Linked DNA regions of Stegostoma tigrinum. The protein of the gene in region 4 purifies or fractionates together with the protein of the main gene of each other region. This does not show direct contact. Links are inferred from orthologs where the notes say so. Each region holds a gene or a part of one and is shown on either strand. Other genes may lie near its edges. The genes, in order: aebp2, mtf2, phf19 and eed.

Region 1 (8,237 bases), on a different chromosome or scaffold from region 4:
TTTATTGTGCCCACTTCCACCACTTCCTCTGGTAGCTCATTCCATACACTCTGTGAAAAAGTCACACCTCAGTTCCTTTTGAAATCTTTCCCCTCTCATCTTAAACCTATGCCTTCTAGTTTTGGACTCCACCATCCTAGGAAAAAAATAATTTGCCATTCACCCTGTCCATGCCCCTCATGATTTTATAAACTCTATAAGGTCACCCCTCAGTCTCCTTTATTACCAAATAAAGTCCGAGCCTATTCAGCCCCTCCCTATAACTGAAACCCTCCAGTCCCAGCACCATCCTTGTAAATCTTTTCTGCACCCTCTCAAGTTTAAGAATATCTTTTCAACAGAAGGGTGACCAGAATTGCACACAATATTCTAAAGGTGACCTCACCAACATCTTGTACAGCCACAACATAATATCCGAACTCCTATAATCCATGTTCTGACCAATGAAGGCAAGCATACCAAACACCTGTTCACCTCTGACTCCACTTTTAAAGAACCACACACCTGCACCCCTAGGTCTCTTTGTTCGGTAAGGGGCCCTAGTCTTGAGAGAACTTCAAAAAGCATCAGCTCAACTCTTCAGGTTTAAATTCTGTTTACCTCTGTTCAACGCATTTATATTTTCTTGTAATCTAAGGATTTCCTTCTCAGCATTTAACACACCATCAATTCTCACATCTTTTCTATCACGTATCTCTGAAACTTTAATTCATATTTGTGATCAAGTCAAGAGCTGCATTTCTGTAATTTGCTCCTTATTGGTCTTCCCATATCTGGCAACTACTGCAGCTGCCTGAACACTGCAACCTCTGCTCTACTAATACAATGACCCTGTTGTTACCATCTCCATCATCTCTGGTCGTCAAGATTGTTTCTTTCACCTTCATGGCCTCAACTTCCTCTACACTATGTGTTATTTCATTCAGTGGCTGCTGCTTAAATACTGGAGTGCAATGAGTACATTTCAAAAGTACAGAAATTGCTGAAGAATCTCAACAAATCTGGCAGCAACCGTGGAGAAAAAGCAGTAACCCTTCTCAAAATGAGTATATTTATTGGCTACAAAGCTCTCTGGGGATATCTGGGGTCATGCAGGATGCTATATAAATGACTTTTTTTTCTTTTATTTCTTATTCCCCAATACTTCTCCAAATGTCAGTGAACTCACCTTATTGTTTATGTCAGTGTTCTTGACAGGGTCTCACTTCATTGCCAGTTCACCATATCGCTCCCTCGTGTCGCAGCCATTATTTTTCCCGTCAACATATAAAACAAATTATAAAGACCATAAGACATAGGAGTGAAAGTAAGGCCATTTTGGCCCATCAAGTCCACTCCGCCATTTAAATCATGGCTGATGGGCATTTCAACTCCACTTCCCTGCACTCTCCCCGTAGCCCTTCATTCCTTCTAAGATCAAGAATTTGTCGATCTCTGCCTTGAAGGCATCCAACATCCCGTCCTCCACTGCACTTCTTGGCAATGAATTCCCCAAGCCCACCACTCTCTGGCTGAAGAAATGTCATCTCATTTCAGTTTTAAATTTACCCCCTCTAATTCTAAGGCGGTGCCCACAGGTCCTAGTCTCCCCGCCTAACGGAGACAGCTTCCTAGCGTCCACCCCTTCTAAGCCATACATTATCTTGTAAGTTTCTATTAGATCTCCCCTCAACCTTCTAAACTCTAATGAGTACAATCCCAGGATCCTTAGCCGTTCATCATACGTTAAACCTATCATTCCAGGGATCATCCGTGTGAATCTCCACTGGACACGTTCCAGGGCTAGTATGTCCTTTCTGAGGTGTGGGGCCCAAAATTGGACCCAGGTCTTTATCACATTGCTGTTTGAGGCTGCCATGTGCACATTTGCTGTTGCACTTCCTACACTACAACAATCACACTTTACAAAAACATCCTTCATTGGCTGCAAAGTGCTTTGAATTGTGCGGTGGTCAGGAAAAGTGCCATAAATTGGAAATGTAAGTCTTTTCTTTAAATCTTGCTTGTTCCTCTTCAGCAGCATCCACTTTCTAAGGGATTTTGAAACGTCAGTGTAATTAGACTGGACTCTGTGCTCGAGACAGGATCTGACCAAAGCCCTCAGTGGTAACAAGGTTATTTGTTCCAGTTCTGATGAAAAGTGACAGAGCTGAAAAAGTTAAGTTTATTTCTCTATCGACAGCCTGACTTGCTGGATATTTCCAATAATTTTTTTTGATTTCAGATTTTTAACATCCACAGTGCAAGTATTTTTCTTTTTCAATCTCAGCCAATCCATCTTCATTCAGCATAGTACTTACAATTTCATAGCTCGGAAGAAGGGTCACTGCTTTTTCTCCACAGTTGCTGCCAGATTTGTTGAGATTCTTCAGCAATTTCTGTTTTTGTTTCAGATTTATATTTAAAACTGCTTGAAGGCACTGGGTTCACTAATTCACTGTGCTGGCAGAATAAATACAAAATTTAATCTGATCAGCACTTTCAGTTTAATTTTTTTTTCAATATAATTTCCATTCAGTTAATTGTCCTACCCTGATTACTTTTTAAGAGACCAAAAAGTGCAGATAGTGAACGTATAAAACTGTTTCAATAGCATCTCTGCAAAAAAAAAAAGGTTAATATTTTAGGTTTGTAAAATTATATCTTCGATCTTCTGATGGAATAAATCCAGACAGTAAAGGAAGCTATAAAGAGGACATTAGGAGGTCCACAAAGGAATCTAAGTAGGTTGAGGGTCAGCAAGATCTGGTGAATAAAGTACAATGTGGGAATACATGAATTTTTTGCATTTTGGTAAGATAAGAATGGTGAGAGACTGCAGAACCCTGGGATGCAGAGGGCTCTGGGTGTCCTCATGCATGAATCACAATATTAGTATGCAGGCACAGCAAGTAAAAATTAAGAAAGCTGATAGAATTGTAAATTTATTGCAAAGAAAATTGGATGCAAAATTTGCAAGGGTACACTTCTGTTATATAAGACAGTGAGACTGCATTTGCAGTATTATGCACAGTATCAGTCAGCTTATTTCAAGGAAGGATGTAAGTGCATTAGAAGCACTTAAGAGAAGGTTTACCCAAAATGTCTTATCAGGAAAGGTTGGACAGGCTACATTTGTATCTAAGATAACAATGTGTAGAGCTAGATGAACACAGCAGGTCAAGCAGCATCAGAGGAGCAGGAAGGCTGACATTTCAGGCCTAGGCTCCTTGTATCTAGAGTTTAGAACAACATAATATCCGAACTCCTATAATCCATGTTCTGACCAATGAAGGCAAGCATGCCAAACACCTTTTCACCTCTGACTCCACTTTTAAAGAACCACACACCTGCACCCCTAGGTCTCTTTATTCGGTAAGGGCCCCAAGTCTTGAGAGAACTTCAAAAAGCATCAGCTCAACTCTTCAGGTTTAAATTCTGTTCAAGCCACTAAGAGACAACTTGATCGAAACATGCAAGATCCCGAATGAGGGTTCTTGTGGTGCAATGGTGGCGTCCTTGTTTCTGACCCAAGTGTCTGGATTCAAATCTCATCTGCTTCAGAAGTGAGTAATCATACCTTTGAACCGAAAATATCTATAAAACCCTGAAGAGTTTTCAGAATGGATGTGGATAGGATATTTCTTCTTACAGAACTGGAGGTTACTGTTTAAAAATAAGGCATTTTCCATTTATAACACAGATGAGGCACAATGTTTTTCATCCCCTCCTCCAAGGGTGGAGTCTGTTTGAACCTTCCTGAAAAGTTGTGGGAACAGTGTCCTTGAATACATTTAAGGCAGAGGTGCATTGATTCTTGTTAAATGAAGAGGGTGAAAGTTTATCAGGGCTAGGTGGAAATTTGGGTTTGAGGTTACCATCAGATGCACAATGACCTTGTTGAATGGCAGAGCAGGCTTGAGAGACTACATCACCTACTCTAGGTCCTTGTTGGAATGAAACATCAAATATAACAATGACCAGAATTTATTTCTTCTAATGTTAGTTGCACAGACAAGCAAGAGACCAGACCATTGGCACTGTACCTGGAAGGGATACAACACAGATATGTGCACACATAGACATATAGTGTTTAAACTTTAACTGACACACACGAAGGGAATGTTTGAAAAATTCAACAGGCCTATTAACATCTATGGAGACAGAAACAAAGTTGACATTTCCAGTCTAGTAAGATTCTTCTTCAGACAGCTTAAACTTTAGCTGTTTTCCAAACACTGCAGAGCTCTTCCCAACTTGCCGATGTTCATAGTTCTGTTTTTCTATACAGAAAAACAAAAATCAAGGACTGTGGATGCTGGAAATCAGAAACAGAAACTGAAATTTCTGGAAAGACTCAGCAGGTCTAGTACTATCTGTGGAGAGAAAACAAAGTGAACGTGAACAACCCCCAAGGCTTGGTGAATTTTGCTTCACGTTGATGGCAACAGCCGACATCGAAGGAGCAAAACGCCACTTCTGCCGCGACAAGCCAGTCAATCATCGCTGTGGTAACTTTCTGACACCTGCTGCTGAAAACCCAAGAGGTCAGAAGGGTCTGGAGGCTGTGCTTTCACGGCCTGCATTCGGACTGAAAACGATCATTAGGTTAGCTTCTGCGCCATGGGACGTTTCTGTCACTTATTAGCTCGCCTTAAGACACCTGCGCGACGGTGTGACACTCTACCTTCACTCCATAGACCTCTGAGATTTTGCAGCAATTTCTATTCGTACCCACAATTTGGATATTGCAGTTGTAGCCCACACACAGTAAACACCTCCCACCTCATCCCTGCGAATCCACGAGCGGCACAAACGGTCGACTACCGCCCCGCCCATAATCATCACGCAGGCGCGCTGTTGCCTGTTTGCCCCATCCCCACGCGCGCACTGCGCAGGCGCATAGAGTCAGATTCGCACCCACCCCGTCGCTCACGGCCCCGCCCCCTCCTACTGAGCAGGCGCGCTGGTGGCACGTGACCGTCCGGGCTGGAGCCGCGCGGGGGAAATGGCCGCAGCCGCCGCTCCGTCCCTCAGCGCCATCGCTAACGACACTCAGAGTCAGGTGGCGGTGGTGGCAGCAGGGGGGACTGGTAAGAGCTGCCGCTCGGAAGCCAAGTGCGGCGGTGTTGGTAACGCCGGCATTGGTAGTAGCCGTTCCCAGGCCGTTTTGAGGCAGCAACAGCAACAACAACTCCGGCAGCGGCGGGACGAGGAGGAGAGTGAGCCCGAGGCTGGCGGCCCGCAAGCTTCAGGCTCCCCAAGTGGACACAGGGCCACGGGGGCTTCCAACTCCGGGCCGTCCCGCAACCTTCCTCAACAGCAGCAACAAGCGGCCAAAAGCTGCACCGGGGCCCTCAGGTGCGGCCAGCAGCAACAACGGGGCCGGGAGGAGGCGGCGGCCGCTGTGGCAGCTGGTAACAGGAGGCAGAGTCTGGAGAACTCGTCAGACGGGGAACCACTGAGCCGCATGGACTCAGAGGACAGGTGAGGGAGCGGGGGTTAGGCACTCTCCGGTCTTACCCCGGGGCTCAAGCTTCTCAGACGAAGCTGCAGTGGAGACCTTTCTTCTCTTATCTACCGTCTCCCTTCCAGCCGTCGGGCGATTCAGACTCTTCCCCACCCCCTCGCTCTTGCCCTTCTGCTGTCCCGTACTCTGCTGAAAGAACCGAAATAGCTGTCCCCGATTCAAAAGCGTTCCTTTTTTTGTCTCCCCAGCTCTTGAATTCAATTGCCGAAAAGTATTCGTTCTTTCAAACTAATGCCCTTTTGTCGGAAAGGGTACTTGTAGGTTTTGTTGTTGGGGGAGAGTATAAAATAAAATAGAAAACATACTCTTAGCCCTGCTTTTTATCGGAGTTTTTGGGGTAGCGGAGGTGGTGGCGGCAGTGTTCTGTGAAATTTACACGACGCCTTCTCGGGAGTTTTGAGGTGTTCTCATCTTTGTTATGAGATGGCGCTTTCCGAGTTAAAAAAAAAACACCTGGAAAAGCCCAACTCTGTGTAACCGTAACCTCAGTTGACTTGGTCATACCGATGACTTTTAATGTCGGCCATTCAGTAAGCAAAAGATTAGTCATAGTCCAGAATAAATCATACGTGCCCTCATTGTGTTTGTTTCAAATCCCCACGCAGATGTGATTTATGCATCGGCCTTTTAAGCTACAGCTTTTGCCGTAACATCGTGTCAGGTTCGTAGAAATGCAAAGCAGTGATTACTAGCGATACGTTTGTCTTTTAATAGGGCAGATCTCGCCTTTAAAATAGTGTTTTCGCGCAGCTGACACTTTGGATCCGAGTTACTGATATTCAGCGTCGCGTTTTAAATATGAAAAGTTGACTCTGTCAGCTTCGCTCATTTGGTAAACTTGGATCTGACTCAAGGTCGTGGGCTCAAACCCCACACCAGTAATTAAGCATGTAATCTAAGGTGACACATCAGTGGGAAAGCTGTATTGTCAAAACTGATCGCATTCAGATGATGTGAATTAAGGCATAAAAGATCTGGAACTCTGAAGAGGAGTGACTTCACCCAGTTTCTAAGCAATGATCCCTCCTTCCTCTGATAACCGCATGAGCTCATAAACAAATTAAAAACTAATTTGATGAATAGTTAATCTACATATGAGCGTTTCAAATTAATCTGACCGTGAAGTACTTGGGGATGTCCTGAGAAGGTTGGTGCCGTCCAGGGGAATGTTCAGATGAATTAAACTGATTTCAAAGCTGTTGGTTGTCCTTGGAACTTGATAAAGCATTAGTATCAATTCTGTTCATAAATCGTTGTAACTTGATCCAAAGTAAGAGCAGATCATTCTTGTTACGGCACAATGTAAGTAAAACGTAATTGTAGATTGTAATTTCTGTGGTGTAGGTAAATGTACAAAGTTGTGCTTTTGCCATCTTATGAGCAAAAATTGACCATTCTGGGAGGAACTTAATGACTTCTTTCAGGCTGACAGACTGATATCATAAATTTTGAAATATATTTAAATTATTGCATTGTTATATAAGCAGATATATATTTTGTTTCCAGATCTCTCATGGTAGGAGTAATTCTTCAGATTTGTTTGCATTTTAAAGGCTGATTGCAATAAAATTAAACTGTCCAAAATTACCAGTAGTGATTAGTTTACGTTGTTGCAATCAAAAATCAAGCTACAATCGATTTAATATTAGTAAAGAAGTCAGTGAATTTATCAGGTGACAGATGACAAAATGTGTATTTAGCAGCACTGTTTATTCATGGCAATTTGTGGTATAGTTGTATGTATTTTGAAATAAATTATATTAGGTATATTTTCATGTTACTTGTTGATCTTGTACATCACGCTGCTGAATCTCTACAACTGCCTAAACAGGTAAAATGCTGTTCGAGAGAATTTTTACACCAGCATTTATGTCTTGGTTTAATTTGAATGTGACATGAGCTTTGAAATAAAAAGAACAAGCTCTTGCTCAAATTGGATAATTTTCAAAAGCTCTTTTTAATGTTCAAAGATATTCTTTGAAGTCAGAATTATATACAAGACTTAGATTTGCAGACAGCTTTAGAATTGAGGAATTGGTGTGATATTTACCCCAGAGCCTTGTGTGCAACTATAGTTTAGTAATATGTTCAACGGTATTGTGTACATTTAATGTTCCCTTTGTTTCTCAGTGCTTTGTGGCTGCTACTTGTTACTGTACTTTGACTAACTAAAGGTGAGGTAACCACTATTAGTCATGTTGATGTGACCAAACACTACTTGGTGTCACTTTTGCTCAGCATAATTATATGGCTTCCAAGTGGATGTGTGTGAAAGAGAACAGTTGTACTTTGGAACAGGACAGTCATGTGCAGCTTTGAGTTCCCAATGTTTCCCAGTCTCTTGTCTGTTTTTGGAGGTGGAAATAATCATATTCTAAGGTTTGTGATAGGGTTTTGATGGGCATACAGGTAACTGCTCAGGCCCAGCATACAACCAGACAATTCTCTTGCCAATAATCCAAGACACTTGAGTTTTAGAAGAATGGCTGGCTTGGCATTTTCCTTTCTTTACATCTAAAACGTCTGAAGGTGCAGAATTTGTAAATCCATCCATTAAACTTGTAAAATGTCACATAATATACAGTGTTTCAGTTCGACCTTGAAAACACATTTCATTTTTGGTTGCAGAAATACACATCCTCGGGAGAGTACAGATGTACAGTGGTTGCCACAAGCCACCACTGAGAAAACAAGTGGGAAAAGACAATATACTTGGCCTATTCAGTTT
Region 2 (8,069 bases), on a different chromosome or scaffold from region 4:
CTATCACAATACTCTCCATTGCGCTCTTAGAAGACAAAAAAGTGCATTATTTCAATGCTGACATCCTCATTTTTGTACCACAATTCTTTTCAAACTAGCCTAGCATTTCTCCTTTATTAGGTTCATTAGGCATCAGGTACGGAAAGGACATCTCATATCCTCTCCAAAGGCTTAGGAATGGAATAATGGAACACTGTTTAGTGGTTGCAATCAAGATCAAAACCAAAAAAAAACAGAATGGCACAATTTAAAAAACATTTCTAGTTGTAATTACCCACCCTTGAGTGACAATTAACTGTTTGGAACAACAGCTGTTTTACAAAACAGGGGCACAACCACTGATACTATTTACATCATCATGTAAATAAAGCAGGATAGTCAACACCTTCCGATCTAATCTTTGGGTAAATTTTCTTCTCTTGCACAAATACAGTGTTTCAATATTTTGAACTTTAGGATCCAAATAACTGAAATACACCTTTTCTTTATTAGGAGCATTAGATGAAAGAAGGCAAATCAATTTTCTATCAGGGACAGTCTTTGAACCAAACACCCAAGCATCCAGGAAGATCAAAACACTGCAGCTGATAGAAGAAACAGCAACGGGGAATAGGTAAGCTAAGAAAGCAGAAAGGACAACTGGCATCATAAAGAATAACCAAGTACAGAAACAGCACGCTGGATGATGGTACACAATCACAGATCACAATAAGGAGACCAAGGAGCGTGTCAGCTGAATCCAACGGATAGAGTAGAGAACAAGCAACTAACAAACTTTTGTACGTGTTTAGGGTGGAGGTATTTCTTGTGCTCAAATTCTCTCATGTCTGGCCACATTTTGTAAATGCTCAACAAGACTTGTCTACTCGGTGTCGCCAGCTGAATTCCTGTAACGGCTGAAACATTTCTCCGATAATTATTGAAAAGTTTAACACAAAAGTAAATAATATTGTTGGATTTAGCATTTACCCACTGTCCTGCTCAATGCAGGAATAATTTCTTTTACATGACTAACTTATGAGTGCTCCACATTAATCAACAATGCTTCAAAATGGCGTGCTCCCTGCTTTTGCCAAGCTTAAGCATAGTTATTCACCTTTATGACAGTTCCAAGGTAAAATAAGCCATCTGACCACCTGGCTAGGACATCCTGGCCTTCCTCAAACTTGCATACAGGTTTTTTTCCTTTTGATCCATCCTGCAATGACAATCGAACAGAGGACACTGGTGTCTTCTGGTTTCGACGGGAGGGAGATCGCTTGTGGAGAGATGAGTTACCTGCTCCCGTAGTGTCTTTGTCCATCAGGAAAATAGCATCATCAACTGAAATTTAAAGTTCAAAATGAGCCATTCCAGAACAACTCATTTCTGTATTATTTGCCACTGTAAATTACTGATGGTCTGCACAAAGTTACCATATGTCTGATACAACAGTTGCTAAATTTGATCACACTGGGGCCTTTTGAAATTAGCTTAAACGTAACACCCTACAAAGAGTTAAAGTCTTACCAAAAAAAAAACACCCCACCCCAACTGGCTCAACTTATCTCAAGTTACCAATGCCGTACAGATCACAAATTCCATTTCTCAGTCTACGCTCGAGTAGCTAAATCAATTATGCACTACGGAATTAGTACACCAATCAATTTCCCAAATTAGGAAGGGAAATTGTTCTGATTTGTTACATCCATCTAACTTTGCATCTTTTGCAGAAAGAATCAACTGTACCTCCTCATCAAATGATTTAATGGCCTTTCAACACTTGGTACATAAGTTCATTGATAAATATTTGATCAAACAAACAAGGTGAGTTCCAGACGCAAATGACCCAAGAAAAAACACTCCTCCTCAATCTTCCCTTTAAATTTCTACCTATTAACTTCATCCATGCTCCCTAGTTATTGAGCCCTCTACCGACAGAAAAAAGTGCCTTCCTAACCACCCTTCCCATGCCCTTCAGTCTAATACATAACTCTATCATACATCTTTTCAATCTTCTTTACAACTCCAATCTATTCAATTTTTTTTTTGCTCAGATATTCCAACCCAGGCAACGTCTTGGTAAACCTCCTCTGCAGTGCAATCACATCCTTCCTATGTTAGTGACGAGAATTGTATGCAGTACTCCAGTTGTGATCCAGACAGAGCCTTGTACAGTCCCAGCATAATCGCCACACCTCACATTCTGTGGTTCAGCTAATAAGGACAAGAATCTCAGTTGTCGTCTTAAACACATCACCTACCAGTTCAATCTTTAAGGATTACGGATATGCACATCAAGGCCCCTCCAACCTTCAGTACATTCCCGGATCCCATTATTCATAATGTAACCCGTTGACTTGTCGGTCCCCACTAAGTGCATTTCTTTGTTGATTCAATTTGCCACTGCTCTGTCCACCTGACAATTGTTAGTGTCCTCTAGCAGTTTATGGCCATCTTCATCATTATTTACCACCATCAACCGTCATGTCACCCAAAAATGTCTTGATCACACCTCCTGTATCTACGCCCAAATCACTAACTCCTCCCCAGGAGGAGTTCTGCAGAACCTTGATGGAATGACTTCCAATCACAGAAATATCCCTGAACCATCACTCTCTACTTCCTGCCTCTCAGCCAGTGTTAGATCCGTTGTAACACTTTCCCTTAGATCCCACAGGCTCTGTCTTTTGGTTTTAACTAGTCTGATATGAGGGACCTTATCAAAAACCTTGCTGAAATTCCTGCTAATCATATCAAATGTAGCACCTTAAATCGATACTCCAGACCTCTTCAAAAAAATTAAAATTTGTCAATCATGACATTACCTTAGAAAATCCAATTAATCAGACAAAGACAAAGTCTCTCCAAGTGCAGCAATATTTCATACTCCTACTGCTAATAACACCCTAACCTCCAAATGGGATCTGATTTTCTCAACTATGACTCCCACTTTTTTAATAACAGACAATGTGAAAAGACCTCTAATTCTCGAACATCTCACCTGCCATCAGAAAAGAAATTTCAAAATTCTGCCAGGGCTGCCAGTGTCTCCTTTGCTGCCTCCTTCAAAAGGCGAGGAAACATCCCATCCAGGCTTGCAGTTTTATGTACTTAAGACAAATATTTATTAGCAGGTATTTAAAACCTGCTAGTTTACATACAACAATACAGCGCAGAACAGGCCCTTCGGCCCTCAATGTTGCGTCGACATCCTTCCTCTCGCAAGGAGTCCAAAATCGATTGCAGTATTCCGAAAGCAGCTGAACCAACATCCTATATTGGCTGCTAAGTGATCTCCCAACTCCTATACTCAATGCACTGACCGATAAAGGTGAGCACACCAAATGTCTCCTTCATATCCTTTCTACCGGTGGCTGTACTTTGATGGAACTACGAAACTGCACTCCAGCGTCTCTTTATTAAGCAACACTCCCCACAACCTTAAAACCTGCTAGTACTTCCTCTTTCTTTTGATATTAATTTCTCCTAATATTTCACAGTCCCCAACCCGGATATCTATACTGTGTTGTCCTTTTCCACCGTGAAGACTGACAAAATCTTCAGGACTGTGTCCGTGTCTACACAGATTACGCCCAGGGTCCTTCTGGGACCCCTCTTTCCCTGGTTTTCTCTTCGTACGTATACATTTTAAAAACACATTTTGATTTTACTCTACTCACTAATACTTTCTCCTACATTGTCTTTGGTTTCCTAATTTCCTGTTTCGTCTCAACTGCACTTTTCATACTTCTCAAGGGACTTTCCCCTATTGAGCCTTTGATATCTGCCAAAGGCTTTTGATTCTTAATCCCAGCCTTAAATGTCCTCCAGGCTTGGTCTTGCCCTTTGTCTTTACGGTTAACAATCTGCCCTGCACACTAATTTTTTCCTTAAATGCCACTCACTGCTCTGACAGTTTAATTTGCAAGACCAAAAGAAAAAGCAACAAAAGTAGGCCATTCAGCCCCTCAAGTCTGCTCTGTCATTCAAAACAATCATGGCAAATTTGACAGTACTCACACCCACTTTCCTGCCATTCCCCATAACCTTTGATTCTTCTACTGAACAAGAAACTCTCTCAGCATTAAATATACACAAAGACTTTGCCCCCAAACAGCTCTCTGTGGCAAGGAGTTCCAAAGATTCACAACTATTTGACAGAAAAAATTCCTCATCTCAGTTTTAAATTGGCACCTCTTAATTCTGAGACAATGCACTCTGGTCTCCCATGACAAGAAACATCCTTCCAGAACTTCCTGCCAAACCCCTTTGGAATGTGTTTCAATGAAATCACCTTCCATTCTTATAAATTCCAACGAGTAGAGTCCCAACCATTTTAACCTTTACTTCTAAGGCAATCCGCCCATGCCACAGATCAACCTAATGATACTTCTCTAACTGTCCCCAACAAAATATGTCTTCCCTTAAATAAGTGAATTGAAATTGCTCACAGTACTCTAGACGTGGTCTCACCAGTACCTTGTACATTCACAGAAAGAATTCCCTACTTAGATAGTCCAACCCCCTTGAAGTAAGGGCCAACATTCTATTGGCCTTCCTGATTACAGGCTGCACCTGTGCGCCAGCTTTGTGCTTCATGCACAAGGGTCCTCAAGTCCCTTTGTGCTGCAGCTTTTTCCCTTTAATATCCTGGTCTTTTGTTCTCCCTTCCAAAATGAGCCATTTTACACTTTTCCACATTGTACTATTTCGCCAACATTTTCCCCACTTATCTGTATCTCTCTAAACTGTTTATGTTCTCTCACAACCTGACCTTCCACCTATTTTGAGAGCATTACAAATCCGGCTATATTACATTTGCTTCCTCCATTCAAATCATTAATATATATTGCAAAAATGTTGCAGCCCCAACACTGGTACCCATGGAATTCCACTGGTCACAGGTCACCAACGTGAAAAAGAATCTGTTATCTCCACTCACTATTTCCTACCCATTAGCCAATTCTCTATCCATGTCAATATCCTACACACAACACCATAAGCTCTTATCTTACGACTTATTCTTTTGTGAGGTTTCTTGTTGAATGCCCTCTGGAAGTCCAAATAAAATACACTTAAGTTTCCTCTGTTCACTCTCCTGGAGACTTCCTTGAAAACTCTAATTTAGTCAGACACAATCTCCCCCACATAAAGTCAGGTTGATTCTGCTTGATTAAATTATGTTTTTCCAAGTGTTCTGTTTCGTCCTTAAATGATCTACTTCAACAATATATATTAGGCTAATCAGCCTAGTTATCCACTTTTGCTTCCCTTCCTTTTTGAATAGGGGTATCACTGACAGTTTTGCAATCATCTGGTACTTAGCTAGAATCAAAAGCCTTTGGACAATTATAGACAATGCACCCACTATCGCTGTAGCTACCATTTTTAGGATGCAAGTCAATCAGACTAGGGAACATTAGACCTGGACCATCTCCAACACATCCCTCACCTTCCTGGACCTCTCTGTCTCCATCCCAGGCAAGCACCTAGAAACCAATATCCATTTCAAGCCCACCGACTCCCACAACTACTTAGAATACACCTCCTCCCACCCAACTTCCTGCAAAAATTCCATCCCTTATTCCTAATTCCTTCGCCTCCACCACAGCTCCCAGGATGAGGCATTCCACTCCTGTACATCTCAGATGTCCTCATTCTTCAAGGACCCCAACCACACGCGCCCCCCCCCCCGCCCCGCAGTGGTCGAGAATGCCCTCGACCATGTCTTCCACATTTCCCACAACTCATCCCTCACACCCTGTCCCTGCAATAACCACCAAAAGACAATCCCCCTCGTCCTCACACCACCCTACCAACCTCCGGAACAACCACATCATCCTCTGATACTTCCGCCATCTACAATCCAACCCCACCACCCAAGACATTTTTCCATCCCCACCCTTGTCTGCTTTCCGGAGGGACCACTCTCTCCGTGACTCCCTTGTTCGCTCCACACTCCCCTCCAACCCCACCACACCCGGCACTTTCCCGTGCAACCAAAAGAAGTGCTACATTTTCCCCCACACCTCCAACCTCACCTCCATCCCAGGCCCCAACATGACTTTCCACATCAAGCAGATGTTCACCTGCACGTGCCAATGTGGTATACTGCATCCACTGTACCCGTTGTGGCTTCCTCTACATTGGGGAAACCAAGCAGAGGCTTGGGGGACCGCTCTGCAGAACACCTACACTCAGATTGCAATAAAAAACTGCACCCCCCAGTCCAGAACCATTTCAACTCCCCCTCCCATTCCTCAGACGACATATCCATCCTGGGCCTCCCGCAGTGCCACAACAATGCCACCCGAAGGTTGCAGGAACAGCAACTCTTTCCAATTGGGAACCCTGCAGCCCAATAGTATCAATGTGCATTTCACTAGCTTCACAATCTACCCTCCCCCACTGCATCCCCAAAACCAGCCCAGCTCGTCCCCGCCTCCCTAACCTGTTCTTCCTCTCACCTATCCCCTCCTCCCACCTCAGGCCACACCTTCATTTCCTACCTACGAACCTCATCCCGCCCCCTTGACCTGTCTGTCCTCCCCGGACTGACGTATCCCCTCCCTACCTGACGACCTATACTGTCCTCTCCACCTATCTTGGATCCACCTCCCTCCCTCTCCATTTATTTCAGAACTCTCTCCCCATCCCCCTTTTCTGATGAAGGGTCAAGGCCCGAAACGTCTGCTTTCGTGCTCCTAAGATGCTGCTTGGCCTGCTGTGCTCACCCAGCTCCACACTTTGTTATCTTAGCCCCAATTAGTGTGTTTAATACTACTTCTCTAGTGATGAATTTAATCCTGTCATTCCTGTTAATCTTCCCAACTAGTTCACTTTTGATTATTCTATCCTCACTTCATTTTAATTCCACTTATGCTAAACATAGTTGTTTCTGACTCAAGTTTCTCATTTTTGAGCTGAAAATTGAAATCTGTCATGATCACTAATTACCAGGATCTTTTCCTCAGGAGGTCATTTATTAAACCTGCCTCATTACTTATTACCAGATCCAAGATAGCCAGTTCCCTGGTTTGCTCCATGACATATTGCTCTGAGAAAGTATCCCTGGTGCACTCCCTGAATTCGTTGCCATAACATGAAGATTAAAGCTACAAATAATTATTGCTCTCTTTTTATATGCTCTTGTTCTTTATTGGTTTACAGCCTTTCCTACAGTGACTACTGTTTGGGTGTCTGTACACTAACTCTCAATGTCATATTTTCTTTGGCTTTTCCCTCCGCTGAAACAAACTTATCTTCATCCAAGACAAATCATCTCTCAGCTGTCCTCATTTTATCTCTTTTTTTTAAAACACTGCTAACTGACCATTTTTTCCATCCATCCTGTCTTTCCAAAAGGCAAAATATCCCTGAATATTAAGGTCTTGATTTTGATGGCCATTATGGAAACATGAGTTACAAGGATATGAGATCATACAATTTGCACTAAATGCTTCATGCACCATGGAAACACATGGGCAGTCACACATTCTGGCTCACCCTTTTATTTTATGGTAATAATCAACCCCATCACTAACCTACAATTCTGCCTGCTCCTCCATATTTGATTTTATAATTTTTTCATGCTACTGAACCCACATGCCTACTTTTTTAAGTTTAAAGCCCCACCCATAGCCCTGGTTATGCAATTCGCCCGGATTCTGGTCCCAGCATGGTGCCTATTCCATCAGAACAGCCCCTTCCTTCCCCAGAATACTGCCAATATCCCATTAATTCAAACATTTTCCCCACATTAATCTTTGAGCCACGCATTTACCTCTAATCTTTTTTGACCCTATACAAATAAGCTCGTGGGTCAGGCAACAATCCTGAAATTACTACCTTGTTCACAATACATTTTAGCTTTTCCCCCTAGCCCCAGCAGAACCTCCTTCTTTCTATGAATATCGTTGGTACCTATGCAACAACTGGATATTTGCACTCCCATTCCAAGTTCCTCTGCAGCCTAGATAAGATATCCTGAACCCAGGCACCTGGCAAAAAAATACAGCCTTCAGGACTCTCAACACTGGCCACAGAACAGTATCTGTTCTCAGACTATTACAACTACATTTCTCTTT
Region 3 (8,137 bases), on a different chromosome or scaffold from region 4:
AGGCTGACAAGACTCAAGCTACTTTCCCTGGAGTGTTGCAGGCTGAGGGGTGACCTTATAGACATTTATAAAATCATGACAGGCATGGATATGGTAAATAGACAAGTTCTTTTCCCTGGCATGGGTGAGTCCATAGCTAGAGGGCATAGGTTAAGTGAGAGGGGAAAGATTTGAAAGGGCAGGTTTTTCTACACAGAAAGCAGTGCATGTACAGAATGAGCTACCAGAGGAAGTAGTGGAGGCTGGTACAATTACAAACGTTTACAAGGATCTGGATGGGCACATGAATAGAAACAGCTTGGAGGGATATGGGCCAAATGCAGGCAAATGGGACTAGATTTATTTAAAATATCTGGTTGGCATGGGTTTGAACTGAAGGGTCTGTTTCTATGCTGTATTCCTCTATGAGCAACTCTTACTTAGCAACATAACTCTTTATGAAGGTGCTGCTGGTATCAAGGTACTCAGTAGGAAGGCTATAAATGTTTTAGCGAGGGTGCAGAAACTATTTAGAAGATTGGTTTTAGTTGAACAAATTCAGTTATGTAGAATGGAGAAGCTGGGGTTGGTCTCCTTAAAAAGGCTTGACAGGAGATATAAAGTGATATTTAAAATCATGAGCAGTCTGAGCAGAGTAGCTCAAGAAAAACTGTTCCCGTTGTCAGAAACATTGAAAGCCAGAGAATACAGATTTAAGATGACTGTCAAAAGGACCAAACACAAAATTACGTTTGTTTTAGATGTAGCAAGTGTTCAGAATATGAAATGCACTGTCTAAAAATGTTGATTCAATTGTGGCTTTCAAAAGAGAATCAGATAAGTTCCTGAACAGGAAAGAAGTAACAAGACCACAGGGAAAGAATGGGGGCATTGGAACCAACTAAATTGTTCTTGCAGAGACCCAGCACTATTTTGACAGGCTGAATGGTCTCCTTCTGTATTAAAGTCATTCTAGGATTCTATAAACTCCTTAGATATTTTCAAGAAAGAGTTAGATGTAGTTCTCAGAGAGAAAGAGATGAAAGGATTTGGGAAAAAGCAAGTACTGATTTGAACGAGAGATAATGGGAACTGCAGATGCTGGAGATTCCAAGATAATAAAATGTGAGGCTGGACGAACACAGCAGGCCAAGCAGCATCTCAGTGCTCCTGAGATGCTGCTTGGCCTGCTGTGTTCGTCCAGCCTCACATTTTATTATCTTAGTACTGATTTGAACGATCAGTTACGATCATACTGAACGCAGGCTCGGAGGGCTGAATGGCCTACTCCTGCTCCTACTTTCTATAGACTCATGGAATCCCTACAGTGCAGATAGAGATCTTTTGATCCATGAAGTCTGTGTCAACTCTCCAAAATGCATCCCATTCCAGACCCACACCCCTACCCTAACCATGGTTAATCCACCTTGCCTGGATATGCTAACCTGCATATTGTTAGACTTTGGGAGGAAACCAGAGCACCCAGCAGAAACTCATACAGATATGGGAAGAAGGCTGAAAGTCGGTATAGCCAGTCACCCAAGGCTGACGTCGAACCTGGGTCCCGGGCACTGAGAGGCTGCAGTGCGGCTGTGCCACCATGGTGACCCCCCCCCATCATGGTTACATTTTAAACATATTAGAATTCAGTTATTCTTGAGATTAATTACACTTCTTAATTTTACCAAAAAATATACATTTTAAGTAACAATTTCATACTAAGATAGAATGCTGTTGATTCATCACAGTCATTCATTCATTCTTGCCAATGTTTCAAATACAGCACTTACGCACTAAAATAAAACCAAAATATGCAGATGCTGAAGATCTCAAACAAAAACAGAAATTGCTGGAGAAATACAGCAGATCTGGCAGCATCTATGGAAAGAAAGCAGAATTAATGTTTCGAATCCAGAGACCCTTCAGAACTTCAGTTGAATTTTTCCAGCAATTTCTGTTTTTGTTACAGCAATTGTCCAGTTGGGTTACTTCAAAGTGGTTATCTGTTGACTATTTCACGTGCTGAAAGTTTGATTTCACCTGTTGAGGGCAGATCAGACAGTAGTGAAGCTAATGTCAACCGAGGTGAGTAAGCTTGTCATCTGCTCCTATATTAATGATTGTCTCGACACCAAGCACTTCCTGAGAAAGTCAAAGCGCGCCAATAAACACCCGCCCCCTTGGATCGCAGCAGCCAATGACGTTACACAGAACGCAACCTCCAGTCACGCCCCTGAAGGTTCTGATTGGCCCAAAGTTTACAGTGGCCGTTCTCGAGATTGTGAGTGGTTCAACTCAATGTCAATCAGAGCCGGATCGGTCACTGGCGGCCTCTCTGTGTCCCTGACATTGACAGAAGCGCCGTTACTTCCTTTTCGCAAATTTTATCTCACTCACAGCTAAGAAAGGACCGAGCTCATACATAAAAAATGTACTTTCCACCCAAAACCAACCTTGACACTATCTGAGAACACTTAATCAGATCCTGCTCTAATTCAGTCCGAATTGGTCGGAAACGTTAAGCCAAAAAAAATTCAAAAGATAAAATCGCAAATAAAATGCAACTTGTGCAGAGCTAATTCCAGAGCTACAAGAGTTACATGTCAAACATGGCCGCTTGTCAGGCAACAGTTTTGTGCAAATTTGAAAAATATACAAAAGTGCGTTCATCAATATACATTTAGCAATAGCATTAATTTTTTTATTGAAAAATCAAAAAAATAAAATCCAGATGCGGGAACGGAAGGCTCCTGAACCGATAAATACTTCGGAAGGTTTCTAAATGATCAATTTTAATTCGCATGCTGACACTGTTTGCGTCATCGAGCAAAACTATGTTTTATATTTTTTGCATGGAATTTCAAATGCATCTCTTCAAATCATCATCGAGCGATAGTTTACATTCGGGGGAAAATCGGCTGGAGTTTCAGAGTTTCAGCAAGTCAGTTAATTGCTAAAAAGAATACTTCAGACTGCATTCCAAATCTCCGAACACTTTGATCCGAATCACAGTTAACTTCACATCAAACAGCAAAACACTTTTGTGCATTTTTCAAACTGCTTCCCCGCCTTCTCTCTCTCTCTCCTGTGGCAGGACAAACCTGCTCCAGCTCCAACCTTACCCTTTCTGTCTCTCTCTCTCACACAGACGCACACGTTTCCACTCCACTGCAGTCTTTCTGATGAAAGTGACGCTTTCCCCTTGGATCGACAGAAGTCCTTTCCCAGAGCAATCAGTCAAGCGGGGTCGCCGGTGCTGCTGGGGGGCACAGACACGAAGTGCAATCACACTCACAGCTCCCTGCCTCATCAGCCGCCATTTTTTCTCTTTCCCGCGATTTATTTTCGTGTGCTTATGTGATTAACACATCATCATCATCATCATCATAAGGAAGTTGAAGCGATGAGTGTGTGCGGGCTCCGGGCAACACGCATCCTCAGCACCGCCCAGTGCAAATCCCAACCCACAAGAAGCAACTTCACCGACCCGCAACCTCACCCACAAATCCCAACTGTGCAGAGATGACATTTCACATGAACTTACTGTCGGACAGAAGGGACCAACTTCTAGATTATAAATATGCAATTACATATCAGTAGCAATTCATGAGGCTCGTATGTACGCTTTGGGGAGAGGGATCTTCACCTTTGTTCTTGATGTATTTGCATTCTGAACGACGTCTAGAAAACGGCTGGAATGTGGCATCATCTCTAACACCTTCACGATCGACGCGATGCTTCACGCGGTGTTCGTGTGACAACGGGTCCCAGCCCAAACACTGGGCGCAGTATGTATTTTACGAGGAAGAAAAAAAATCAGGGTTCATTTTACGTAAATGCCCCGATAAATGCGACTTCATGATTCAACATGCACGTGCACTTCATGATGCACTTTGGAATGAACCTTGTATGGTTTGAATGGTATTACTTTGAGTTATTACTCAGTTCGGTAGGATATCAACATACATTTTAACAAATCTTTGACCATATTTGATAAGATGGTTAAGAAAGCATACTAGAAATTTACTTTATAAATAGTGACATTGTGTACGCAATGAGAAAGTCAAATCAAAATTCAAGGATGTGTATGGTTATCCTTTGTAATTTCCTACAGAAACTGAGTCTTTATCCATTTCACCAAGTGTGTTCCAAATTATAACCCCCAATCTGAAAAATAATTCCCATTTCCACTCTGTTTCTTTAGCTGATTCTTTTAAATCTACAATATGTGGCAACTGATCCACTTACCTATGGACACTTTCAAATCACTGGTTTGATTTTGTTTGTTCTTGTCACTTACCAATACAGTGAAAAGTATTGTTTTGCATGCTAACCAGACTAATCATACTTTACAAAAGTACTTCAGGGTAATAGAACAGAATACAGAATGGTTAGGCCTCAGCTGGACATTTATATGCAATTTTACACGCCATTACTTAGGTTGGACGTTAAATCTGGAAGAGGGTATGGAGAAAATATACTAGGCATAGGGTTTTTCAGTTCAATAGAGAGATTGCAAAAGCTGTGACTATTCTCCTTATACGACAGAAGGGAAGACCTAGGAAAGAAAATCCATAAGATAGGTTTGAGGTGAAATGGGAAAAATTTGAAAGGGACCTGAGGGGCAACTTTCTCATGCAGAGGGTGGTGCATATACAGAAGGAGATTCCAGAAGAAGAAAGGCATCTAGATGAGTATATGAATAGGAAGAATTTCGAGAGATATGGGCCAAATGCTGACAAATGGAACTAGTTTAGTTTGGGATATCTGAGCAGCGCGTATGTGTTGGACCAAAGTGTCTGTTTCTGTGCTTTACAACTCTATGACTCTGAAATTGGAGCAAGCAGGAAAAGCCTATTTCTGTTGGTAAGTGGATCAGTAGCCATAGATCATAGATTTAAAAGATTTGGCAGAAGAAGTAGAGTGGAAATGGGAGTGATTTTCAGATTGGGTTTTATATTCTGGAAATTACCTCAAAAAGTGGAGAAAGACTCAGTTTCTGTAGGAAATTACTAAGGATAACTGAGCACATTGTTGAATTGTAAAGATTTTGCAGGTAAAGTCTTGATTTGATTTGATTTTCGCATTGTCACATACTGAGACACAGTGAAATGTATTGTTTTGCATGCCATCCAGGCAAATCAGATCATGCATAAGTACAGCAGAATAATAGAACAGAATGCAGAATATATTGTTACAGCTAGAGAGAAAGTGCAGGGAAAGATCAACTGAATATATGAGAGGCCCATTCAAAAATCTGATAACAGCAGGGAAGAAGATATTCTTCTCTGGGGTGTTTGTTCTTGTCTGTCTGGATAATTCTTCCAGAGAGCCATCAAAAACTAAACAGACTGAACAGCTTAATCGTGCACTATGTCTGTTATTCTGATAAATATGCACTATTTTATATTTTCTACATTTAAGTAATCTTTTGAAAAGACTATCATCCTGTGGAATTATGTTTTTTAATTTCATGTAAAATGAAAATTACATTTTATTTATTGATATTATTCAAAGCTAACAGGAAGGCAGGAAATATTGAAGGTGAGGCTCAATTTTATACACAGGCTTTCAAAATGTAAGTAAATGCATAAAAATGATGTTTGAGATATTAATGATTTTCACAATAATATGGGCCAAACACGGTTAAGTGGGACTAGTCTGATTTGGGAAAGTTGGTCAGCATGGATGAGTTGGACTGAATGGTCTGTTTCTGTGCTGAATGACTGTATGACTCTAATAAAGATCGACATTTCACTGCTTACTTGTTTAACACTTACTTAGTCCAGGCCCTGTAGTTGAAATATTATAGTAAAACTAGACTTTCTATTTAGCAACCTTCGAATCAGTAAAATATTGCAGCTACATGATGATGGAATGAACTTTGATGTTACAATGCAAAGTTTTCTGAAGATTACATAGAAAGACACTATTTTCTGAACTGACACTACTTTGAAATATGAAGAAGCATTTCTTGTTCAGAAATGACAACATCAATTCAAGACTTCCTTTTAATAACCCCATAAACATGAATAAATATTACTTGAAATTTCATTCCAAGCATGATGCAGTCACCCATCAAGATATTGTTATTGATAATTTAAAAATGGAGCTTAAAACAAACCATTTGCAAATTTATTTTTAAAAAATGCTGAGTTCCTTCACTGTATGATATTAAATGAAGACACACAAGTCATTGAATTTTTGATTACAATATGTTTAAGCTGGTGTATCCACCCATGATGTTCAGTAATTTCTCTATGTTAGTGTATTCAGCACTATGCTTGAATCTGAAATAACTCCTTGAAGGCCTGTCACCAAGTCACCCTTTATTTACATGTGCATACTACATGACGCTGACGCAGCTAACTCAGAGCAGGCTCCTGTAGTGAACAGAACCCCTGACACTCTTGTTTATGTCTGTCAGCTAGGATTCCCTGATTGGACCATTTTAACAACCCCAATTAACCATCTAAGTACATCTTCTCACACATAGTATGCTGATATATAGTAATATGTTTTTAACGCTACCCTGTACTCATTGCAGTTGTGTTATGTTTCACAGTCAGAATGTCAGCATACCTTTAACGGATACAATATGTTAATATACCTTCAAAAGACACCTTCATGGTATCATCACTGTATCATGACATATGACAAGGGCATAAAGTCCACATACTCCATCTTAACCTAGATCACTTGAAGCATGATAAACTAATGGAAGCATGCTGTGTAGCTTCATAGCTTAATGTTATGGTGATTAGAGACTGATGTGTCTGTAAATGTAAAAAAAATCAGTGTCAAAATTTTTTTAAAAAGTGATGTCTTAATTCCCAATTAGTGTAAATACAACCCAGGATCAGAAATCTGCAATTTGAAGTATTTTTAATCAATCTGTTCAAGGATGTTATGACAGGTGAGACTTGAACACAGATCATCTGTTCCAAAAGAAGTGACACTACCATTGCACCACAAGCACTCTCAAGCCTGTGACTTCAAACTTACAAACTTGTACTTTTCAAGTTAACATGCATAAAGGACCAGCAACAAGTAAAATAAAGGAAAACAGTGACACAAAAGGTAGAAAAAAGGAGAGAGAAACAAAATCAGTAAATGAGACAAGCAAACATTGCATTGTACTCTTCTTCTAAATAAAATACAATAACCCTCCAAAGGAAAATGAAATGCAAACAATTATGGAATGCATGTCCAATTATACCTTTACTGAAATACAATCATGCAAACAATGTATACAGTTCTATTTTGAAGATTGAGCAACAGATGATTCCAAGAAGAGCTCTGCAAATCATGCTTGCCATTAGCAAGGAGGAGCTTTGCAGAATTAACACGTGATGTTTCCATCAATGGTCAGAAAGATCAAGGAAAGACATGGAAAGGTGTCCAAGATGAAGGCGAGAATTAAATTAAGGAAGAACAGACTCCAACTCATGTCACACAGACAGCAACCACAAGAATCTATTGACCAGTTTGTCAGAAGATGCTGTAGAAAAACAACTTTTCTGGAGAGAGGCATGTGGAATTAGTGACTGCTTCCACACCAGTTATTGTCTTTAGGAAGGATATTTTGGGTAAGAAAAGTGGCATTCATTTGATACATTGCTTGAGGATGGAATTAAGTATGAAGCCATAGTGCAGCCAACATTATTGTTACAATCAGCAAAATGCAACTAAACAACAAAATCTGTAATTGATGCAGTTTTTTCTCATCTACTTAAAAGCTGTCCAACCTTTTGTGATACTTGTGACAGTGGACATGCACATGCAAAGATTATAATTTCTGTATTATTGCTTAAACTGCATGCACATTGATGTAGGGTATATAAAATTAGAGAGATGAATAAGTGGCTTGAGAACTGGTATGGGAGAAATGAGATCCAGTTAATGGACCACTGACAACAGTACTGGGGAAAGTGGTGGCTTTTCTATTGAGTTGGTCAAAACCTGAGCTATGCTGCGGCTAGTGTTCTTGTGAACCACATAACTAGGGAAAGAGAGAGGGTTTTAAACTAAATAGTGGGGCAAAGGATCAAGTGTCAAATTATATGGTGTATCAAGAGTAAGAGCAAGGTAAGAGAAGAAAACAATAATATGGGAAATTAATGTCAGAGAATATTTGCCAGCAAGATGCAGTGGAAAA
Region 4 (8,246 bases):
CCGTTGCTTTCGACCAATACAAACTTGATGGACCAGGAGGGTTTTCCTCTGAGCTGTAGACCTCTATGACTCTATGATAAAATTCATAAGTAATAATCATACAATGAAACCAAGAAGCAGAGGAATTGCAAAGAGTGCATGCTTTTCACATCTTTCATTGATGAAAAGAATTTGTTAACAAATGCAAGAGCAAAAACAAAAGGAACAAAACCAATGATTCTAAAGTGAAGCCTACTGAAACACAGTATTTTAAACTTCGTGTTCTTCTATATTGCAATGCATATTTGCTAATGTTAAAGCAGTAATATTCTAACAGAGAATCTGTCAAGCCTGTAAAGAACAGAAGTACCACTCAACTCAGCACCATATAACCAAAATCAGCTCTGCACCAAAAGAACAACCAACCAGAGGCAAATTATGCATACACCGCAAACAATGAGAGTTTACTAGTTGAATTCTAGGCTAAGTGTTATATAAATCTGAAAGTGAATATTATTCTAACCAGATGTAATAGGAAATGCAGATGCTGAAGAATCCGAGATAACAAGGTGTAGAGCTGGATGAACACAGCAGGCCAAGCAGCATCACTGGGCCACCAAGGCTGACGTTACGGGCCTAGACCCTTCAGTTTCTTGTTATGTGATTCCTCGGACGGCAGGACTGAACCTGATAAACACCTGTTAATCACACTCCCTCTATAGCGAGGCCATCCATTCAGTGATGGGACTAAAGGCATACACAATACTCCAGCTGTGGTTTTACCAAAGCCCTGTCGAGTTATAGCAAGACATCCCTACTCCTACACCTGAATCCTCTCACTACGAAGGCCAACATATGATTTTCCATCTTCATTATTTGCTGAACATGCATGCTCACATTCTGCAACTGGCACACAAGGACACCCAGATCTCACTGCATCTTACCCACCGTTCCCAATCTATTACCATTCATGAAATAGTTCGCTTCTTGTTTATGCCAAAGTGGATAAACTCACACTTATCCATACTACACCACATCTGCCATCATCTCCCCACTCACTCAACTTGGCTGAATCACACCAAAGCATCTCTGCACTCTCAGTTCATCCTCCCATACAACTTTGTATTATCTGCAACTTGGTGATATTACATTTACTGCCTTCATCTAAATCATTAATATACATTGTGAATAATTGGGGTCCCAGCACTGATATGAGAGATACACTCATAAGTGCCTGCCATTTGGAAACAGACATTTATTCCTACTTATTTCTTCTTTGCCAACCAGATCCCTCTCCATGTCAGTACATACTCCCAGTCCCATGTACTTTAATTTTACATGCTAATATATTACAGACAGCAAGACAACTCAGTGTTTAGTGCTGCTGCCTCAGAGCCAGGACCCGGGTTCAATACCAGCCTTCAGCGACTGTCTAGATGGAGTTTACACATTGTCGCCGCGTCTGTGCAGGTTTCTGCTGTGTGGTCTGGTTTCCTCCCACAGTCCAAAGACAGACATGTTGTTAGGTGAATCAACCATGCTAAATTGCCCTGTAGAATCTAGGACATACAGGCTAGGTGGATTAGCCATGGTAAATACGGGCTTACTGGCATAGGGCAAGGGTAGGATGCTCTTTCGTGGGTGAGTGCAGACTCAATGGGCCAAAATGCCTCTTTCCATACCGTAAAGATTCTATGACCTTACTGAAAGCTTTCTGAAAGTCTAAGTAAACCACATAACACTGGCTCCCCGTTATCAACTCTACAAGTTACATCCTTACATAATTGCAGTAGATTTATCAAGCACAACTTCCCTTTTGTAAATCCACACTGACTGGTTTCTGAATGTTCTGCTATATCATTATAGTGGACTCTAATTAGTATTCCTGAACTATTGAAGTCATGCTGAGAGGTCTATAATTCCCCAATTTCTCGCTACCACTTTTCTTTTAAAAAAGTGTGGTTATATTAGCTACTTTCTAATCCACAGAAACTAATCCACAGTCTATGGAATTCCGAAAGATGACCAATGCATCCACTACGTCTCGGGTCACAACCTTACGAATGCTGTGATGTAGATTACTGTGGCCTAGGATTTATCAGCCTTCAATCTCTTCAATATCCCCAACACCTATTAATAGCGATTTCTGTCAATTGGTCCCTCCTCACTACACCCTGTTTTCCCCAACATTTTTTGGGGGATTATTTTGTATTCTTTGTAATCACAGAATGAAAAAGTGAGAGAGATACTAAGAACTGCAGATGCTAGAATCAGAGATTACAAAGTGTGCAGCTGGACGCACACAGCAGGCCAGGCTGCATCAGAGGAGCAGGAAAGCTAACATTTCTGAAGAAGGGTCCTAACATGAAACGTTAACATTCCTGCTCCTCTGATGCTGCCTGGCCTGCTGTGTGCATCCAGCTCCACATTGTTATCAAAAAGTGGTGTTAAATTGATCCACCATCTCTTGGTTCCCCATTATAACCTCAAGCCTGAGCTTATCGCCACACCTCTAAAAATTAAACCCTTAGGTTTCCCTTAAAAGCAAATAATATTAATTACTCTCAAGCCTTTCTGCTTTGGACATTTGCACCATTACCTTTACAAACTAAAGTCAATATATTATAAACAACGATAAAGAACAGCATAAATATTCATCCAATCAGCTACTTCTTCTTGCCCTCATGTCATTTTTAAACACTCTTCCCAGACAACAACAGAGCAGTGCTGCTGCAGGACACTCCAAATGAGTTAGAGTCAGTGATATAATCCCTCTTCCAGCTGCATTTTAGCTCCAACGAAGAATCACATTGCAATAACCAAATTCATCAACTTCCCACAGCTCAGCAAATTTCCAACTTAGTATGTAGCCATGTCAAAGCGCATGCAGCAAGAAAACCCAAGTTCAACAAGTTGGGCCAAGCTAATTCTGGTTACAATAGTTTGCAGAAACAACATGTTCATAGCAAGTAGGGGCAACTCTAGAAGCCACAACACGTTACCACTAATCAGAATGCAAGGTATATAAAAACTGAGCCTGATACTCAGAGACCTATCTAATAACAACCATTTGTTATTGGGATGTCGGTGCGTCGTCCATTCCAGCTCCCCAGAACCTATGGTGAGTCCGGGTTTAAATCCCGCCCACCCTCCCAAACACTCACCGCCACACCAGGCTAAACCCGGTCACGCTAATCAAGATTGGATGAAAGCCAACACCGTGGCTCCGACGAAAGACTGCCACTCTCCATGTTCTTCCCGCCGCATCGGAGGCTGCTCCTCATCCCTACCGAAGATGAGGATGCAGAGGGGAGCATACAAGAAAATGGTCACAGCTGCAGCGACCTTTCCGTTAACTACACTCACATTTTCATCCCCGGAAACGTCCGGGTTACTGTTCTCATCGCTCAATTTCTGTCTCTTAGTCGGCATGTCCCCTCGCGCCGCACTTTCCGACATTATCCGCAAAGCGGAGCCTGGCGTTGTCACAAAGTCACGTGCGCGCTACCGACTGTCGCAAAACAAAACCCATCCGATTACGTGAACGTCGAGGATGGCCTTTCTTGTTTTCGAATGTTATCCCGACCTTCTGGAAAAGCAATGTTATCTAAGGTTGTTTCAGTTCTGTGAGCAGCACAAAGCTCACGTGATGATGTCGGGTTCTTTGGCCTGTGATAATGGGAACTGCAGATGCTGGAGAATCCAAGATAACAAAGTGTGGAGCTGGATGAACACAGCAGGCCAAGCAGCATCTCAGGAGCACAAAAGCTGACGTTTCGGGCCGAGACCGTTCATCAGAAAAGGGGGATGGGGAGAGGGAACTGGAATAAATAGGGAGAGAGGGGGAGGCGGACCGAAAATGGAGAGAAAACAAGATAGGTAGAGTACAGGTGAAGAGGGGATAGGTCAGTCCAGGGAAGATGGACAGGTCAAGGAGGCGGGATGACGTGGTAGGTAGGAAATGGAGGTGCGGCATGGGGTGGGAGGAAGGGATGGGTGAGAGCAAGAACAGGTTAGGGAAGCAGAGACAGGCTGGGCTGGTTGTGTGATGCAGTGGGGGAAGGGGAAGAACTGGGCTGGTTTTGGGATGCAGTGGGGGAAGGGGAGATTTTGAAGCTTGTGAAGTCCACATTGATACCATTGGGCTGCAGGGTTCCCAAGTGGAATATGAGTTGCTGTACCTTCAACCTTCGGGTGGCATCATTGTGGCACTGCAGGAGGCCCATGATGGACATGTCGCCTGAGGAATGGGAAGGGGAGTTGAAATGGTTCGCGACTGGGAGGTGCAGTTGTTTGTTGCAAACCGAGCTGAGGTGTTCTGCAAAGCGGTCCCCAAGCCTCCGCTTGGTTTCCCCATTGTAGAGGAAGCCACACCGGGTGCAATGGCTACAATATACCACATTGGCAGATGTGCAGGTGAACATCTGCTTGATATGGAAGGGCATCTTGGGGCCTGGGATAGGGGTGAGGGAGGAGGTGTGGGGGCAACTGTAGCACTTCCTGCGGTTGCAGGGGAAGGTGCCGGGTGTGGTGGGGTTGGAGGGGAGTGTGGAGCGGATAAGGGAGTCGCGGAGAGAGCGGTCTCTCCGGAAGGCAGACAAGGGTGGGGATGGAAAAATAGCTTGGGTGGTGGGGTCGGATTGTAAATGGCGGAAATGTCGGAGGATGATGCGTTGTATCCAGAGGTTGGTGGGGTGGTATGTGAGAACGAGGGAGATCCTCTTGGGGCAGTTGTGGCGGGGGCGGGGTGTGAGGGATGTGTTCCGGGAAGTGTGGGAGACGCGGTCAATGGCGTTCTCGACCACAGCGCAGGGAAGGTTGCGGTCCTTGAAGAACGTGGATATCTCTGATGTGCAGGAGTGGAATGCCTCATCCTGGGAGCAGATGCGGTGGAGGCGGAGGAATTGGGAATAGGGGATGGAATTTTTGCAGGAGGGTGGGTGGGAGGAGGCGTATTCTTGGTAGCTGTGGGAGTCAGTGGGCTTGAAATGGACATCAGTTTCTAGCTGGTTACCTGAGATGGAGACTGAGAGGTCCAGGAAGGTGAGGGATTTGTTGGAGATGGCCCAGGTGAACTTGAGGTTGGGGTGGAAGGTGTTGGTAAAGTGGATGAACTGTTCGAGCTCCTCTGGGGAGCAAGAAGCGGCGCCGACACAGTCATCAATGTAACGGAGGAAGAGGTGGGGTTTGGGGCCTCTGTAGGTGCGGAAGAGGGACTGTTCCACGTAACCTACAAACAGGCAGGCATAGCTTGGGCCCATGCGGGTGCCCATGGCCACCGCCTTTGTCTGTAGGAAGTGGGAGGAATCGAAAGAGAAGTTGTTGAGGGTGAGGACGAGTTCAGCTAGGCGGATGAGGGTGTCGGTGGAGGGGGATTGGTCGGGCCTGCGGGACAGGGTTCTTTGGCCTGTTAGTTTCTCAGTCTAAATGTGTGCAATTTGGTTAGGTTCATGGGCTCACCAGGACTGAACTCTTTCATGTTTCAGGTATAATGTCCAGGACTCATTAGACCCCAAAACCTGTTTATCATTTACAAAGCACAAATCAGGAGTGTGATGAAATACATTCTATTTCCATCAGTATGTGCAACAAATCAACCAACGAACTGAAATGACCACATCAGAGCAACAAACCATTCAGATATCAATGAGTGCTATGAATGCTGGCTCACATTATGCCCAATTTTCCACTTTGTGTCTTTTGCTACTTAGTGGATTTTTCACTGAAACTCTTTGGTATTTTAAAACATGCATAAGTGAACTTGGAATATTTTTGGGTGTCAGCTTTGAAGGAAGGAGCTGTCTCTTGTGCAAACCTTTAGTTATATTTTGGAACAAAATTCTTTGTGATGTTGGATTGCGTTAGTATGGAGGTTTCATGATAGCTTCTAAGAAATCTTAACATTCTTTGGGATAAAAATGCTATGTTGCGTTAAGATGATATCCACCTTTCCACCCATTCAATAAAGACTCAATAAAGGAATAAAGTTCAATAGTTCAGAGCTCATAATATGACAGTGTGGAGTTACAATTCAATTTTGAAATTGAAGCACAGACAATTAAAGGTGGACTAGTAATATTCAGAGTGCAGAAAGCAGCTGAAAGCAACCAGGAAACAGCAGTCATAGCTCCAAGACATAATGGCTGCAAATTCCTTTCCCAGTACCAGTCAAAATGAAAAGCTGTGAAGCAGAACTAGCAGTCCTTGCAATGCAATTAATGACCTAGAGCAATGACTATCATTGTTGGGAGTGTAGAGACTATCACTTTTTTCTTTTACTTTTCTCACAGTTTGAAACCGTGACTTGAAGTTAAGAATTGAAATTTGAACAACAGCTCGTTTTAAAAGAGAAAGAATATAGGTAAATGTTTTCTTCTAGGAACTGTCCTGGAAGGACAATGCAACATAATTACTGATCTAAGGTCACTATAGCCAAAGCCACAGTGTGCTGTTATTATGCTCAGGGCTGGCAGCTGGTTGGATGTTGAATTAGCCAATCGAGGGAGAACTTGTTCTGACTGGGTTTTGGCAGGAGACAATATGATTTTTGGAACTTTGGAGGTGTTGCTGGCTTCGCTCTCCCTCTAGTTATTCCCGAGTTTCAGTCCAGTTAGCAAATTGTTGAAGGTTCTGAGAAAAAAATTCCAGTCCATAAGATATGAGTAATACTTCTAGAAGTTGCTGAAACTGGTTGCATTAACCTGTGACTTCAGAATTTAAGCATGATGTATAGTTTTACTTGGCTGAATGATATTGTACAAAAATTTCCTGAAGGCCTAGTATCAATCATTGGAAGCTGTTTATTGAACTGGAAAATTACAAACTTTTTATTTTCTGTTTTAATTTATCCATTAACTGTGTCTGTCTGGCTGTGTGCAAGTAGAGATTATGAGCAAAGAAGATTGGGCTTTAGATTGTAGATATTACATCGATTATCTTGATATTTATCTGTGTTCTACTGAAGTTTCATTATGAATGATAAATTGCCAATTTTATTTAAGTTATAAAATTGGTGTACAAGATCTGTCATTCATAAATTGAGATGCTTATGTTGGGAAAAACATCTGCCTTTCCACCCGATGTTTAATGGTGAGACAATAATGTTGCTAATAATTGTTGAGAGGTAATTTGCATTAATATATCATTGTTACCCAATCTCACCTCATTCCTATATCGGTTGCAATTTTAACATGCAGTGGAGAGAAATTAGACAAATGTCAATTTTTTCTTTTACTTCTAGCCCTTCACCTTGGTTAACTTTCCTAACGCTTCAGGGCACACTCCTTGAACAGTGACTACCTTTTCCATGAAGGTTGGCATGAGCCAATATTCGAGACTAATTGAATATAGTGTTAATCAAGAGGGATGCTTTGTCCTGTATGGCGTCAAATGTCTTGTGTTGTTGGAGCTGCACTCATTTAGGCACACAGAGAATATTTCATCACATTCCTGACTTCTGCCTTATAGATGGGATGCAAGCTTAGGGAGCCAGGAGGTGAATTACTCCCTGCATTATTCCTAGCTTCTGAGCTGTTACTGTAGCTACTATAGTTATTTGGTGAGTTCACTTCATTTTCTGCTCATTGGTAACCCCCAGGATGTTGATAATAGAAGATTCAGTAAAGGTAACACAAAGATGGCTAGCTTGTCATTGTTGCCAGCAGTGATAAATCAAAGTTGTTGCTATTCACACCTAAGCATCTGCCAGCAGCTTATGTGGCTAAGACGCTGAATGTCTTCAACCTCATGACCATATCTCAAAAATGAATCTGTGTTCCTTCATAGTCAAGTGGAACAGCTGTTAATCAAGAGTGCAACCACAACCTGTCAAGGCACTGTCTTTTCTCAGTCCTGGGTTTTGGACATGGTCAGTCAACTGGTTAAGGTCAGGGGTTCCATATCATTACATTCCAGGAGTTGGCCACGGTCAGATCTGCAGTGCCAGGGCGACTAGTCTGGGGACTAGAGGTAAGTTAGTTGGAGAGCAGCACTGAGACCAGCCAGAGGTGTGGTCAGTCATCGGTCCGGACTGTCCTTCAAGGTCCTAGTGGAACCTAAAATGTGCATCTGTGAATAAGTAATTGCTTAGCAAATGCTGCAGGATATCACTGCCTAAAACATCTTTTGCTTGTGATCATATCGCCATTCCTGATATTAAATTGGAGAGGATTGAAGAAATCACAGAATCAGAATTGTTACTGTGCAGAAGGAGGGTATTTGATCCTTCGTGTTTGCATTGACCTTCACAGAGCATTACAACTTGGTAC

What was found.
Region 1: the proteins of eed (region 4) and aebp2 purify together in Homo sapiens (affinity purification with mass spectrometry; 6 studies listed by BioGRID and IntAct, counting the BioPlex papers as one, with this or other methods). This does not show direct contact. The link is inferred for Stegostoma tigrinum from reciprocal best matches to the Homo sapiens genes EED and AEBP2.
Region 2: the proteins of eed (region 4) and mtf2 purify together in Homo sapiens (affinity purification with mass spectrometry; 3 studies listed by BioGRID and IntAct, with this or other methods). This does not show direct contact. The link is inferred for Stegostoma tigrinum from reciprocal best matches to the Homo sapiens genes EED and MTF2.
Region 3: the proteins of eed (region 4) and phf19 purify together in Homo sapiens (affinity purification with mass spectrometry; 8 studies listed by BioGRID and IntAct, counting the BioPlex papers as one, with this or other methods). This does not show direct contact. The link is inferred for Stegostoma tigrinum from reciprocal best matches to the Homo sapiens genes EED and PHF19.

What each region holds. Positions count from the first base shown.
Region 1 is NC_081378.1:44,624,215-44,632,451, forward strand, and holds the start of aebp2 (zinc finger protein AEBP2), read left to right. Parts: upstream 1-4,958; 5' UTR 4,959-4,987; coding exon 4,988-5,466; intron 5,467-8,237. UniProt on the Homo sapiens protein: Acts as an accessory subunit for the core Polycomb repressive complex 2 (PRC2), which mediates histone H3K27 (H3K27me3) trimethylation on chromatin leading to transcriptional repression of the affected target gene.
Region 2 is NC_081361.1:85,903,935-85,912,003, forward strand, and holds the start of mtf2 (metal-response element-binding transcription factor 2), read right to left. Parts: upstream 3,352-8,069; 5' UTR 2,991-3,351; coding exon 2,984-2,990; intron 1,324-2,983; coding exon 1,097-1,323; intron 793-1,096; exon of another isoform or gene 493-792; intron 1-492. UniProt on the Homo sapiens protein: Polycomb group (PcG) protein that specifically binds histone H3 trimethylated at 'Lys-36' (H3K36me3) and recruits the PRC2 complex, thus enhancing PRC2 H3K27me3 methylation activity.
Region 3 is NC_081382.1:31,455,177-31,463,313, forward strand, and holds the start of phf19 (PHD finger protein 19), read right to left. Parts: upstream 3,336-8,137; 5' UTR 3,102-3,335; intron 1-3,101.
Region 4 is NC_081359.1:53,541,218-53,549,463, forward strand, and holds the start of eed (polycomb protein eed), read right to left. Parts: upstream 3,542-8,246; 5' UTR 3,439-3,541; coding exon 3,346-3,438; intron 1-3,345. UniProt on the Homo sapiens protein: Polycomb group (PcG) protein. Component of the PRC2/EED-EZH2 complex, which methylates 'Lys-9' and 'Lys-27' of histone H3, leading to transcriptional repression of the affected target gene.